3 linked regions of the Sus scrofa genome follow. The protein of the gene in region 1 purifies or fractionates together with the protein of each later gene. This does not show direct contact. Links are inferred from orthologs where the notes say so. Each region holds a gene or a part of one and is shown on either strand. Other genes may lie near its edges.

Region 1 (4,793 bases):
AGAGTAAAGGGCAGGCAGCAAAGAATTCGTCAGGAATCAAATTCACAAAATGATCAATCTCAAAGCCAAACTGTAGGTCCCAGAGAAAAATCTAATGGGTGATTAGATGTGCTCAAGTGACCAGGAAAAAAAAAAATCCAATCCAGTTTTTTTCCTTTTGCAGGGAGAGGAAAGGAGCAGTGATCATCAAGAGTTACAATCCATCTGAGCAATGAGTCCTTCCCCAGTCTGTCAGTGCTCGCCAATCCAGTCAAGGTGTAAATAGCATCTGGTTCCCTCTTCGAAGGTCAGGCCCCAGGAGACTCCAGTCTTAGCTCTGCTGGTGTGTGCAAGCAAACTGCATGTCTCTGTGCTTGCGTGGATTTCCTTCCTCTCCAGGGCAAGCTAATACCCAAAACCCCTGGGAAATGTTCCAGCTCTGGCTTTGTAAGGTATCCACGTTCCTTATATGTAGCCCACTTGGTGCCAGGTTGCACCAGCCACACACAGATGAGGTGGCCATGTCCCAGAGAGGCCCAGTGAGGCTTGAAAGGCATCTTCCTTGTTTCTTCAGTGTGTGGGAGGGCATATGCCCCCCCGCAACCCTCCCCTCAAGTTATCTGCTCTGGCTTTGCAGTTATGGGGCTTTGAACACTGTGCCATATTTGACACGGTACTTGTTAATGCTCACAAAGTGCAGGGTCTCTGTGTCACAGGTGGTAGTGCAGGGCACCAGGCCCTCCAGCCCCTCGCCCATAAGCCACTTGCTGGTCTCCGCTGCCATTTCACGGGGCACATGCTCCTTGGTCCATTTATCTACCCAGGCCTGGAACCTCTGATGTAGCCGCTTGCTTACACGCTCATGGGACTGCAAAATAGAAGGGAAAAAAATAACATGAACTAGCATCAGAAATCTCTGAAGTACAAAGCCCTATTTTCTCCTAAAGTAGCAAGGGAAAGATGTGGGCTCAGGTCACTGTTAAGTTTTAAAAAAAGAGGAGTGTGTGGGGGGCAACAGGAGTCTACTTGAAGATAACTGAAAGAGACTAAGGACCTAAAACATGTAGCGAGTTGGAACTCATAAAGCCCTCAGAAATGCCAACACAGGGTCTGGGCAGAACTAGCTCAGTGCTTCTCGATTTTAGCATCCATCAGTATCACCTGTGGAACAGGGACAGTGGGGTCAAGACAGACTTGATAAAAATAGGTAGAGTTTCTTGTTTCCATCAATTTACATTTCTAAACCAGCAAGCCAGCTCTGTACCGAGAGTGAGACAACGAGTTGAGGTTATTTCTGTCAGCATGGCAATCCACTTCTATGTAAAACAGCTGCAAGGCAAAGGGCTTCAAACCCACTCCCTCTTCCCACTATTACCCCACCCTGCCCAGCAACGTGCTGGGCATAACAGGTCTTCAGGGGAGGTTTTCCTTCCTATTCATTCATCTGGTAAATATTTATCGGTGCCCATGAATGCATCCCCATCAGTGTAGGGGATACAAAGATAAATAAGGTGTGGCCCAACTCTACAAATCATTTGAATCAGAGACATGCAGACATACAACACACAGCACAATGAGAGAAGTACATTAAATCTCCCACTCGACAATCTCCCCTGAATGTTTTATAGTCCTTTCTAACTTAACTAGTTCAAAACAGCATGCTTGATCTGCTTCCCAAACCTGGAAACCCCTTCCTATTAACAAAACTCCCCATTTGCTCAAGCAAAATAAGCAAAGAAACAAAACCCAAATCATCTGGTATCATCCTTAATGTTCTCCTTTCTCTTAACTTGCCTACATCCAATGGTTACTATATCCTGACAATTACAGCTCCAATCTAATTTTTATAATTTCACTGCCACCCCCAGAGCATAAGTAACCATCACATCTCATCTGGACGAGAGTAGTCTTTCAAGTGGTCTTTGCCCTTCCAACTTCATGTACTTCCAACAAAATCCAAACCATGGCCTATGAGACCAAGTCCTGTGGCCTCTGCCTACCCTTCCAACTTTATGCATCCCACTTTCCTATAGCTCAAGGCACACTGATGCTTTTAGTTTCTTAGACAAGCCAAGTCCTTTCCTCTCTCCCAACCTTGCACTTGCTTGTTTCCTTTGCCCAAAAAGTACCAATCCCCAACCCTGCACCAGGCTGGACCCTGGTCACTGTTCAGGCTTCAAGTATCACCTCCTTAAGAGAGATCTTCCCCCCAAAAAAGCAGGGCCCTGCCTGGCAGTTACCCGTGATCATGTCACCTACCTTCTTTCCTTGGTAATGTGCATCATCACTTATATGCTCTACCTTGTGGTTGTAGCCCAAAGACCCGGCACAGTACCTACTACATAACTGCACATAACCTTCACAATTGAGGCAGCATGTGAAAACAGGATTCATAAAAGCAATTGCTACTTGAACAAATGAGTAGCTTCACTGGAAGATGCCACCAGATGTTATCTTGGGCGGGTGTGGTCCTGGCTGGGGAGGGAGAAGTGTGGTCAAAATTCCAGTTACGGTTCTCACCTGATGAGCCCGGAGCAAGGCGGTCCTCCGATACATGTAGTCCTCTGACTTGATCACATACACCATCTTATACGAATTCAGCTTGAATCTACACTCCAGCTTATCCAAGCTATCCGCATTCTCCATGGTTTTCTTGCTGTTTCCTTCCTTCCCTTCCTTTTCCTGCTGCTCTCGACCACGCTGACACTTCCGGATCCGCCGCAGATTCCTATAATGCAGAAGAGACTGGCAGGATGATAGCTTGTCCAGATGTAGAGTCCCATGGCTGCCGGCCCCTCCCTCCCCCAAAGGGAGCTTTCCTTATCATATACCTTCACAGTACTTATCATAATATTAATCACATTTTTTTTTTTTAAATTTTTAGGGCCACAACTTCAGCACATGGAAGTTCCCAGGTGAGGGGTCAAATCAGAGCCATAGCAACACCGGATCCCAGCCACATCTGCGACTTACACCACAGCTCATGGTAACACTGGATCCTTAACCCACTGAGTGAGGCCCAAATCTTCATGGATTCTAGTCGGGTTTTTAACCTGCTGAACCACAAAAGGAACTCCCTACATACATTTTTAAAACATTCAATGGCTTCATTGCCAAAAAAATATATATGTATATATTTCAACTGCAGGGATACAAAGAATAAAAAGTAGAAATTGCCAGAGTTCCTGTCATGGCTAAGTGGTAACAAACCCGACTAGTATCCATGAGGATGCAAGTTTCATCCCTGGCCTGGATGCCCTGCCTGGGACCTGCCATATGCAGTTCTCAAAATTCCACTTGCCTTGGCAGAAGAAACCACTGTTAGCAGTTTTGATTTAAAATATTCTAGGTCGCAATCTATCTTTCACTTAATGTCATGAAGATTTTTTCATTTCACTACATATAGATTTGTGTCGTTCTCCCTCTTTTTTTTTTTAATGGGTGTACCACAGTATATGGAAGTTCTCAGGCCAGGGACTGAGTCTGAGCCATGGCTGTGACAACGTAGGATCCTTTAACCCACTGTGCTAGACTAGGCTAGCCCAGGGATCAAACCTGTGCCTGCACAGCGCCTCAGCAGCGACCTAACTCACTGCAGTTGGAGTCATAACCTACTGCGACACAGTGGGAACTCCTGGTGTCATTCTCTTTAACTGCTACAGAGGAATGTGTCTCAATTATCATTCCTTTTTTTTTACTTTGGTCTTTTTTGGGCCGTACCTGCAGCATATATAATTACCATTCCTTAATGGGAATCAATCAGGGTTCTTCATGTGAACCACAGGGCACAGGAAACTATTTAAATGTCTATTTTTTTTCAATTCTCCCAAAGATGGCACATAACTAAAGCTGTTTTACATGTGTAGGAAAGAAGATAATTCACATCAGTGGATGCCTTGGCAGTTATTTAGAGCTTAATTCCCTCCAACAAGCAGAGAAAGGTTGTCATCTAGACAATTATATTGTTTCCTACACCTTGCTATTAAAAACACTGCTTCAGTGAATATTTTTGGACACACACATTTCCACAGGACAGCAGTTCTTTGGTCCAAAGATTCTTAGAGGCCCCCAAGATCCTTTTCCAGGAGGTTTGTGAGATCAAAACTATTTTCATAATAATACAAAAACATTTTTTTTTTAACCATGTTAACATTAGTAAGGACAGTGCAAAAATAACAATGATTATAAAAAGAAAAAGGAAAAAAAGCTGGTGGTGGCACCAACCCATTCTTAAGATGTCTTGGTACTCTTCTCTGGCTATGCACTGACAAAAAAGGAAAGATGGTCTGACTTAAGAATGTCTTTGATGAAGCAGTAACTTAAAAAAAAAAAAAAAAAAAATTAAACCCTAGGCCCTTAGTTCACATCTTTTTTTTTTTTTTTGGTCTTTTGTTGTTGTTGTTGCTATTTCTTGGGCCACTCCCGCGGCATACGGAGGTTCCCAGGCTAGGGGTTGAATCGGAGCTGTAGCCACCGGCCTACGCCAGAGCCACAGCAACGCGGGATCCGAGCCGCGTCTGCAACCTACACCACAGCTCACGGCAACACTGGATCGTTTTTTTTTTTTTCTTAACACTGGATCGTTAACCCACTGAGCAAGGGCAGGGACTGAACCCGCAACCTCATGGTTCCTAGTCGGATTTGTTAACCACTGCGCCACGACGGGAACTCCAGGTCACATCTTTTTATTTGTGTTTGTTTGTCTTTTTAGGGCTGCACCTGTGGCAATGGAAGTTCCCACGCTAGGGGTCAAACAGCAGCTGCAATTGCTGGCCTATGCCACAGCAACACAGGACCTGAGCCGAGTCTGCAAC
Region 2 (5,262 bases), about 5.9 Mb from region 1:
ATTTTTATTCATTTTTAAATCATCTTAAGGAGCTGACATTAAACTATGACTATGAAGTAATTAATCCACTTTGATTTGTTTTCCACCGATTCACCAGAACTTAAGCACCAAAATGATTACGTCCTTTAAAGGTTAATATTGCTCAAAAACACTTAAGGAATTCTTCTTTAATTACTGCTCACATGAATCATTTGCCAGTCTCAAAAAAAAAAAAAAAAAAAACTAATCTTATTATCTTCACCACAGAATATCTTGCTCTCCTACTCTTAGATTCCTATTGCTCCCTCTCCCAAAATTACTGTCAGTCAGTGAGAAAGAGAAAAATGAAGAGAAAAACAAGAAAATTTTCAAGGAAAGCAACTGCTAGTTATCACCTCTCATATTTCTTATCTTCTATTTTTATATCACATATAGTTGTCACATCAGAGTAACTGAAGCACAAAATGATCTGCATATTGATCCTCATCCAATAAAGGTCAAACTATCAGAAAGAATTAAGTTATTTTCCTATAGCAAGGAAGTATACGATCTTTTTAACTTTTCTGAAACAGATTAAAATTATTTCTGGCTCTTAATAGCTTATTTCTTGGCTATTTAAAATTTGGTCCCTCAGGATGACTCACTCCAAAATATCTCTGGATAGTACAGTTGTCCTGTAGCCTTAGCACCTGCCCAGGACCAAGGCTGGAGAAGAATAAAACTGGAAACTTTTTTTTTTTTCCCAGGGCTGCATCCACAGCATATGGAGGTTCCCAGGCTAGGGGTCAAATCAAAGCTATAGTCGCAGGCCTGCACCACAACTCATGCCAATGCAGGATCCTTAACCCATTGAGCGAGGCCAGGGATCGAACCTGTGTCCCCATGGATACAAGTCAGATTCATTTCTGCTGACCTACAATGGGAACTCCAAACTGTGGAATTTTAACATGTAAGATACATGGGAGAAAAGAGATGCTTTCGCAAGATGCAAAACTGCAAAATATATTCAAATAATTTCTTTGCACTTAAAAGATCTGACTTTTAGTTCAAATTATTATTACATTCTTCACAAATTAGGTTGTCCATTATTTTCTGAGGATAAAAAACAGTGAAAAATCATAAAGGTCAACATAAAAATCAGAGAGGCAAAATTTTAGTAAATGTCATTTTGCAAGCTCCTAGCTCCCGTTAAAAAATAAATAAATAAACACTTAAAGATAAAATGTTTCACAGATCTCGGAAATACATTCACATACAGTCTAGATGTTCTTTCTCCGTATTCTTCACTTTTGGCATTTCGCTTTTTTCTCTGTATTCTTCACTTTTGACATTTCACCTTTTTTCATGACTAGGCTGATGACTTCCTAACTGTGCTTCCCATCCCAGGCAGGTTTTAATGCCATATTTCCACCTGTCAGTTTGGGGCACTCTGGCTTTATACCACCATGACCTCAAAAACAAGATGTCTGTAATACTCTACCTTCTACTTTCATCACAAATCTTTTACTTTTCTATTTCTTTCTTTTTTTTTTTTTTTTTTTTTGTCTTTTTGCCTTTTTCTAGGGCCACACCACGGCATGTGGAGGTTCCCAGGCTAGGGGTCTCATCCCAGCTATTGCTGCCATCCTATGCCAGAGCCACAGCAACTCAGGATCTGAGCCATGTCTGCTACCTACACCACAGCTCATGGCAACGATGGATCTGTAACCTACTGAGGGAGGCCAGGGATCGAACCTGAAACCTCATGTTTCCTAGTCGGATTCTACTTTTCTATTTCTGTTCATGCTACCCCAGAGATTTTTTTTTTTTTCTTACTTTCACTCCTAAACTTGTCATCAACCCTGCTTCCTGCTTTTTTTTTTTTTTTTTAAATCTTTCACATCTATATCTTCTCTTTTTATAGTTCAGATTCTTCTCCCAGTCAACCAGATTTTCTCACTCTTTTGAATAAGCTTTAAGTTCCGGCGCTGGCACTTTTTCCTACATTCCTCCCCTTATAGAAACACCTGAACACTAACTCCAATTCAAATTCTACCCATTCTTCAAGATAACTTAGGTAATTCCACCTTCAACTAGCCTTTGCTAACCATTCCACAGTGAAAAGATTTCCTCTGCCTCTGAATTCCTACAGTATTGTTTACAGTTAAGCATTCAATTGGCAATTTAAGGAAGTGGTGACCTATGAAAGATCTTTAATTGAAGTCAGATCGTAACTATTTATACCTCACACTGAGTAGAACCCAGAATTGCACGAAGAAGTCACTTATAAACACTTATTTGGGGTTGGTTGATTTATTGACTGCAGTACATTCTTCCACGGAGGTTCTTTGAAAGGAAACCTGAAAAGAGGGTGTAGAGATGACAACACACTGTCATCAATCTGTCATCAATTCTTGCTTTACATGGCCAAAATCAGACCAAGACAAAAAATAATGTCTCACATTCATTATATGGACAGAAAAAAAGAATCCAAGTAATCACAAATTCCATTTGTTTTTAAAATAATAATTCCTAAAAGGGTGCAAAAACTATCATCCATGATGTTGGGCTCCTCTCAGTCTTGAAAAGTTCAGAGAGATGCTGCAAACGGTACCGCTCCCACGTCAGCCCCCCGAAAGAGCACCGATGTCAAGTACTGACTGACACGTTGACTTGGAAGCTGAGATTAATAAATTCTAAACCGGCCAGGAGCCAATACAAATCTACCCTTGGCTCAGACAACCCACCCACGTTGCGAAGTAAAGGTTGCAAAGGTGTAAAATAAGAAGTGGGTGGTCTGAGGAGAGGAGGCATTTCCAGAGTCTCCCAGACAGGATGCGGGACAGTCCTCGCTCCGGACGGCTCCGGGCACAGCCCGGAGGTCCCAAGGGCGGGGCGGACCGTGGGCAGGTCCGCGCGGCGTCCAGAAGTGCGGCGAGTCCAGGCTCGCGCCCTGCCCAGCCCCGCCCCGCCCCGCCCCGCCCCGCCAACCGGGATCCGCCAGGAGCACAGGCAGCGCCCGGCGAACAGTCCCGGTGCTACCGAGGGCCGGGAGTGAGTCTCCGCCCCTTCCCTCTCTCCCCGCCCCGCTCTCCCAGCAGGACGCAGCTGCCGGCGTGCAGAGAGCGGCCTGGCGCTAGTCTGGCTCGAGGACTTGGGGTCCCAGCTCTGCTGGGTCGCGTACCTGAGCTATCTCCATCCTCAGAGACCGACGAGCTCTCGGTGTCCTCGTCCTCAGAGCTGCTCCCCTCGTTTTCGGCGTAGTCCACCTCCATCTCATCGTGATGGTTCGTCTCCTTCTTATCCCCTCGAGAATGGACTGGCATTTTCCAGCCGCGCCGTCGCTTCCCACTCCCAGTGCCCAGCCCGGCCACCGCCGCTTCAGTGAAGGGCGCGCGGAACGCCCCGACCCACCCAGCGGCGGAGCTCGTTCTGAAACCCCTCGGCTCCTCCCCGCCCCCGGCCCGAGCCTCACAACCTAACCCGCAGGCTCTGCGCTGGGAGCTCTGCCATTGGTGGAGGCAGTGCTCCTAGCCGGGGGGATGGGGCTTGTGTAGCTCGGGTCCGGTTGGTTACCAGTAATTACGGCGCGGCCTCGCGGTGTATGTTGGGAGTTGTAGTCCCTAGTGGTTCAAGACCCGCAGGGGCAGCCGGCTTCCAAGCTTCAATGGCCCGGCTTGCTTCTCCTCTCTGGACTTCAAGTCCCACAAGGCATGAAAGCTGCCAGACTCGATCGGAGTTTGTAAACTAAGCAAAAACAGATTGTGCGAATTTGGTCTTTATTTATTCTTTTCCCGCCAAGTGATTGTCTGAGCGCCCAAGCTATCCAAAATGTTACTGTCAGATGTGAAAAGGTCTTTTGCCCGAGGATTTTTCCTCCCCTTTGAGGCTGAGGGAACTGGAGAAATGTTTTTACCTAAGCATATTTATTACCACTAATAAACTAATATTAATAAATTAGTTTCTGCTGACGATAACTTGCACTTTCTATGTTGCACAAAAATCTTCCAATTGTTTTTTGAGACTTTTGTAATCAAAAATATGGAAAGAAAGGAATTTTTATCATGGCACTTTCAGCTAGTATTTTTTGCATTCGTTTTTTACCATATGCAACGTGAAAATGCCACCGGTCTTAAGTTTTCAATGAAAAATACACTCTGGTCACTCTTTATGTGCCAAGCACTGTTATGTGCTTTAAGTACATTAATTCACTTAATCCTTATAAAAACTCCATGAACTACATATAATTAGCCTTCCGTTTTGTAAATGAGGAAACTGAAGCGCCAAGTTAGATTACTTGGCCAAAGTCACACCACTAATAAGTAGCAAAGCTAAGGTTTGAACTTGAGTAGTCCAGCATCAGAGCCCACACCCAACCACCATCACACAGTGCCCCTGTAGCAAGTGCTTTCTGTTCTGCTGCTTAAAGAAAAACAGAAGGAAGCTGGAGAGGAGGTATGGATTCTAGCCCTAGTTCTACTGATAACCAGGCAATTCATTTGGGCAAATCACATAATATCTCATCAGTGGTAAAACAAGAAGGTTGCATTATGTTATTGCTAAGTTCTCTTCCAGCTCTAAAAGTCCTGTCATCATTATATTTATGTTTAAGGCAGACAAAATAATATAAGATTGCGCAATTAGAGTTACAGGGTGGTGTTTTGCTTAAAAGGAGTTTCTCTCTCCCCTCCTCAAATAGATTTTTAAAAAGATGTGTAGCAAATGTAAGAGAAACCATAAGGGGAAAAATGAATAAGGCTGGAAAAGAATATTGTCAGCTTGGAAAATACAAATTAATATAAAGCAAACCATGAAAGCTGAGTGAAGTTTCCTCAATCTAGCCTTTAAAAGGTAGGAGTTGGGATTTCCCTGATGGCTCAGTGGGTTAAGGATCTGGCATTGTCACTGCTTTGGCTCTGATTACTGCTGTGGCCCAGGTTTGATCCCTGGTTTGATCTTCCACAGGCCGAAGGCATGACAAAAAATAAAAAAAGTAAAAAGGTAGGAATGATGCCTTCCATTAATGTAGCACTTTACATTTTGTAGGGCTTACACTATCTTTAGATCCATTTTAAGTCTCACTTTTTCTTTCACTCTCTTTATAATGGTCACAGCTGCAGCGTATGGAAATTCCCAAGCTAGGAGTCAAATCTGAGCTGCAGCTGCCGGATCCCAGCTGCATCTGCAACCTACGCTGGAGCTTGAGGCAACATGGGATCCCTAACCCACTGAGCCATGCCAGGGATCAAATCCGCAACCTCACATACACTATGTTGGGTTCTTAATCCACTGAGCTACAAAAGG
Region 3 (5,314 bases), on another chromosome or scaffold:
GGCACTGACCTCAGTCCCCACTGTCAGGTAGGCAGGCTCATCCGCCGCCTGAAGAAAGGAACAGAAAATGTGAATGTCACTATTTTCCCTTATTCCAACCTCAAGTCTCTTCAAAAGATTCTGTACTTCAAGTAATAAGAACATTATTTGCTTATTAATGTCATTGATAATTTGAAAAAAAAAAAAAAACCCTAAAGCAAACACTTTATTAGCAATCCTTTGCTTTATAAACTATATCCTCATAACATAAAACATTTGAAATTGTAACTAGAAAGTATCAGTAGGAATATATAATTTTTTTCCCTCCAGGTACAAAATGAGTCAACAATTCTATAACAGACAGATTTTAAGAAATTTTAACTTAAAAATCCAAAAAATTTTTTTTGTCTTTTTGCCCTTTCTAGGACCTCACCAGCGGCATATGGAGGTTCCCAGGCTAGGGGTCTAAAAATTTGGAGCTGTTGCTGCCTGCCTACACCAGAGCCACAGCAACGCGGGATCTGAGCTGCGTCTGCAACCTACACCACAGCTCATGGCAATGCCGGATCCTTAACCCACTGAGCAAGGTCAGGGATCGAACCCAGAACCTCATGGTTCCTAGTCGGATTCATTAACTACTGAGCCATGATGAGAACTCCAAAAAAAAATCCAAAAAATTTTAAATTAAAAATCCAAAAAAATTTAAAAATCCAGAAAAGGTATATTCATAGTAAGTGTCTCATAAAACTTTAAGTTATTCAGTCAATGGACTCCTGAAAATTTTGTTTTCAAATGAAAAGAAATACTGCTATTCCAATTAACACTAACAATACATCATGATTAAGTGTTATTATAGCTACATAAAGGCAACATCTTTTTGGATACACAATAAATGTATGGCTAGGAAACGAAGACAACCCTTTTGATAAGCAGAGCATAATTTAGAAAAATCACTGGCTAAAAGCTACATTTTAAAGGGTTAAGATATGAACTGATGCCTCAAGACTTGTAGCTGTACCTACAAGATTCATCACACTAATCTTGGTATTTAAAAAAAAAAAAAAAGCTTCACAAAGAAATGTCTATTTTTAGCAAATGGTCATGATCAGAATGATACACTGAAAGGTGTGAGAAATTTCACTCCACCATTCATTTTAATCTTGACAGTAACAAAATGATTGCTATCTCAATCTGTCATTTTTTTTAAAAGTTACATGTACTCAAGCTCAATTCAACACTTCTAAGTACAAACGTGAAAGTCTATAGAGAAATATTTTTAAGTAGAAAATGATTTTTCATTTTCCAGTAAGTTTTCTCAACTAACATTAAAGAAGATACATGTGTCAAAGAGATACATCTCCTTCAAGGAGAAAAGAACACAAGAAAAAGTTTGGGAAAATACTGTTTCAGAGCTTAATACACTGAAAGTTAATGAGTAAGGAATAAAGTATCTTTTAAAGTTAGTGCATTTACAACTAGGGCAAATTAAAGAGAAATACTTTTGGCAAATAAGTAGATGACCGAAACATTCAAGGCCACAGAATTGCAGGATGCTATAACTTCTTTACCTTTAAACATCACATATGATGTTTGCAATATTATTTCCAATATTAATTGTCTTCTGAAGACTTTTATTTTAGTTTGAATATGTTTAAATACTATAAAGACTGAACTAAAATTAAGTATTAGTAATTATAATAATTATAATATATAATAATACTTAGTATTAGTTCATTTTCAAATATTTTAGCCACGGAATTTCACCTTATCCCCAGAAGAAATGCTATCTCCCTGACACAATCCACATGTTCCATCCTTAGAAAATCGCATTGGCACTGGAGAAGAAAAAAACAAATTTCAAAAAATCCCCCAAACAACCAAAGCAGGACAGAAGCTTTACTTCTGCAAAGGTTGCTGCCAACACAGGAAGTGTTTAAAAATACTAGCCCAATGGACAACAATGGAAAGGCTGCACCAGCCTTTCCAAAGTGCTAACTGCTTCGGAGAGGGGACGAACTGACCGCATTTAGACACAATGATCATTTCTCACCCAATTCAACATGTCTTCATTTTCAGAAAGCGCAGCTTAGTAATCAATTTTGAGTAGAAAAAAATAAAGAAAAGAAAAATGACATTCCACAGCTCTAGCCTCACGACAGGCAGTGTCCAGGGCACGAGGTTCCGAGCAGCGTCGACTCCACTTACCTTCATTTTTACTGGTGATCTGTGGGGTTCCAGCTCAACGAGCTATCTTCTCTACCGCTGGAACCAAGGGGAGGGGAAAGACGAGCACAGAATCAGTCAACAGAGGGGAGCGACTCGGGGAAAGAAAGTAAACAAACGCCTGCGGGGAGGGGCAGAACCCTCACCAGGGAGGGCGAAAGAGCCCCTCCGAGGGCAGCCAGGACGCAGGAGCCGGAGGGGCGGCGAGAACCCCACGGGCGCCAAAGGGCAGCGGTTCCGCCTCAGAGTTCGCCAGCGGCCCACCGCGCCCCCGCCTCGCTCGCCACTTTGACCCGGAATGCTCAACTCAGAGCCCCAGGACGGCACGCTCCGGAGAAGGGCAGGGCGCCGTTGGGGCTTCCCCAGGTCCCCTGCAGGCGCGGTCGCCGAGCCTCCTCCCGGCCGCCCCCGGATACCCCGACTTCGGCCCGCGCCCCGCCTCCGCAGCTCGGCCCCCTCGGCCCGCCCCGGGCCCGCGGTGGCGGCAGCGGAGTGTCACGGCGCCATTGCTCTCCTTCCTCCGCTCTGCACCATGTCAGGAAGGAGAAGCGCTTCTTCACCCCAAGGGGCAGGGGCCGCGGCCTTCAGCTTGGAGGCGCGCGAGGAAGGGAAGACCCGCGAGGGGGAGGGGGCTGGGGGGGCGGAGAGGAGGAGGGGAGGTGGCCCGGACAGGGTGTGGGAGGGGAGGGGAGCCGAACGGCAGCAGCCGCCGCCTCCTCCCCGCGCCCGCCTCAACTTTTTGTACAGCCCAGAGCGGTACCAGCCCCCAGCCCCTCGGGTCCTGCCACGGACTCCAGGGGGGAGGACGCGCCGCGGAGTTAGAGGCCGGCTCCCCCAAGCAGCCAGCTTCTCGCCGCGCGGAAGCAAACTTAGCGGCGCGGCCAGCCCCACAGCCATTTTCCCGGGGAACCCGGGGAAGCGGCCGGGGAGGCAGCTGCAGCGGCTGTTCCTGCAGTTGCTGCCGCTGCTCCACGAACTGCCCCTTCTCCTGCGCTTGTCGCCCCGCTTGCCAAGCATCCCCCTCCCCACCTCCAAAGCTTCCAACTGTACCGGGACCCCGGGCAGCAGCACCAGCTGCTAGTACCGCTTCGTCCATTCAGTATCGCCCGCTTCCCTTCTCCCCACCTACCAACTGAGGGTGAAGTGGGCGCTGTCAGCTCCCGAGTCCTCCGCCCCACTGACCCCCGTGGGCCCCCGTCCGGGCAGCACCACTCTCGGCCGCCGCGGCAGTTCCTGCGCCCGGTTCCCTACTCGCCCGATTTACTGCCACAATCCACCAAATAACAAGCTGTTGAGCAGTCTCGCTTCTACACGAACTCCTATTGGCTGCTCATGACGCCGAAGAGTTTCGGATTGGAGCTCGCTACCTGCCGTCCTCATTGGATGTAGCTCTGAAACTTCCCGGATTGGTGCGAAAAATAGCAGGTAGGACATCTTCCACTTATGATTGGCTGTCTCCGAAGACTAACGTTACTGGAGAATCAGGTATTGAGTTAGTAAATCCTGAGAAATGATTGGTAAAGAGGACTCCGGATGTGCTTGACTGAGCACTGATTGGTCAATTGGGGGGGTCAGGAAGAGCAGTTCGGCACGAGGATTGGCGGTGGGGTGTCCCATGGAAACCGAACCCGGCGCTGCGCCCAGGACTTGCACGGGGGCGGGGCAGGTCTTTCCAAGACGCCTGCGCCGAACCAGCTTGTCGGCGCCATTTTGTCTGGGCAGCGGTGGCTGCAGCTCTATCGCTTTTTATGTTTCTGGCCAGACGAGAGCGGATTCTTTAGTCTGTAGATTCGTTTTTCTGCGGCACCCATCCACCGTTCTCTCCAGGACAAAACCTAGTGAACGTTGGAAGAGTCGCGATCTGCCGGAAAGGTCAGTTCGAAGCTGTGGTTGTCCGGTGGGCTGGGGGATGGCGCAGCATTGGAGGCACCGGCACCGGAAGTGAGGGGGCCGCGCGGCAGCCATGGCCGGGTATGTTCTCCCTGCGGCGGGGAGGGGAGCCGGGAGGCGGGTTGAGAGGGGGCGAGGCTTCCTCTCCCGCTGCCAAAGAGAAAGAGGCGGAGGAGACGAGCTGGTCTTTTTTTCCTGGCCGATCCTTTGGGCTCCTCTTCTCTGGGAGCAGTACTTCCCTTCTTTGGAAGTGGGTTTCGGCAGCTTGTCATACTCTGTGATCGAGTGTCACCAGTTATAGGCTCCTTTTTCAGGAAGACGGGGAAGGTAAGGTTCTTAGACCCTCCCTACCTGGGGAGAGGTGTTTCCGCGTGCTCCTCCCGCGATGAGGCAATAAGGAAACTGGGTTTGGGGCGCTGAGGAATTCTCTTGGCAGCAGCCCTGCTACTTTAGACGTGCAGCTGTGCCACCCTTCTGGAGCCTTATACTACTTTGGGGGAGGAAATACAGGGACTGAAAACTCCTGACCTAACCCTTATCATCACTCCTTAGAGGAAAGGTCCTCCCCGGTAGGACTTTGTTCAAGGCAGCCGTTGAGCTTGTTGTGATCTTGTGTTGTTTTCAATAGAACAAAATTACATTTGAAATTGTGGAAATAAAGTATTAATTAGCAAGTTGAGTTAAAGAATGAAATAATTAAATATGTAAAAATCAATGGTAGTCCACATTGACTACATTTACTCGTTAGGAGAATATCTTAATTGAGTCAATTTTTCATTCACAATAGTGCCTTTTCTTAGAATTACTAGAAAAGTAATTTCTTAGTTAAAATAAATGCATGTTAGTTTTTCTATCGAATGACCTTGTCACACTGATCTAAATAACTGCATAAAATTATCTTCATAATATTCTTGATTTGAACCCTCTTATTCATGGGGCTCCAGACTAGAAAATGATTGAATGATTTAATAATTTATTGAGATTTTTTTTTTGGCAGTTGGTCAGAAGAAAACAGGACAGTTCAGTGACAAATACCCGAAAGTATTACTGAGGTGAGCCTGCCTGAAAAAGTTTTTCTGTGGACCAGTAAGTAGAACCATAAATAGCAAAATGAAAAAATGGTAGTTGAAAAGTGTTTGTTTGGTCAAAGGTTCAAATAAGTCTGTATAACTAGCTTCCTGATGTGATACTTTAGAATGAAGTCCCCAGATTAGGACATACT

What was found.
Region 2: the proteins of SIN3A (region 1) and BRMS1L purify together in Homo sapiens (affinity purification with mass spectrometry; 3 studies listed by BioGRID, with this or other methods). This does not show direct contact. The link is inferred for Sus scrofa from reciprocal best matches to the Homo sapiens genes SIN3A and BRMS1L.
Region 3: the proteins of SIN3A (region 1) and ARID4A purify together in Homo sapiens (affinity purification with western blotting; 6 studies listed by BioGRID and IntAct, with this or other methods). This does not show direct contact. The link is inferred for Sus scrofa from reciprocal best matches to the Homo sapiens genes SIN3A and ARID4A.

Annotation. Positions count from the first base shown.
Region 1 is NC_010449.5:58,240,737-58,245,529, reverse strand, and holds part of SIN3A (paired amphipathic helix protein Sin3a), read right to left. Parts: intron 2,708-4,793; coding exon 2,500-2,707; intron 848-2,499; coding exon 617-847; 3' UTR 1-616. UniProt on the Homo sapiens protein: Acts as a transcriptional repressor. Corepressor for REST. Interacts with MXI1 to repress MYC responsive genes and antagonize MYC oncogenic activities. Also interacts with MXD1-MAX heterodimers to repress transcription by tethering SIN3A to DNA.
Region 2 is NC_010449.5:64,120,345-64,125,606, forward strand, and holds the start of BRMS1L (breast cancer metastasis-suppressor 1-like protein), read right to left. Parts: upstream 3,509-5,262; 5' UTR 3,285-3,508; coding exon 3,143-3,284; intron 1-3,142. UniProt on the Homo sapiens protein: Involved in the histone deacetylase (HDAC1)-dependent transcriptional repression activity. When overexpressed in lung cancer cell line that lacks p53/TP53 expression, inhibits cell growth.
Region 3 is NC_010443.5:187,383,548-187,388,861, reverse strand, and holds the start of ARID4A (AT-rich interactive domain-containing protein 4A), read right to left. Parts: upstream 3,509-5,314; 5' UTR 3,328-3,508; intron 2,242-3,327; 5' UTR 2,191-2,241; coding exon 2,185-2,190; intron 49-2,184; coding exon 1-48.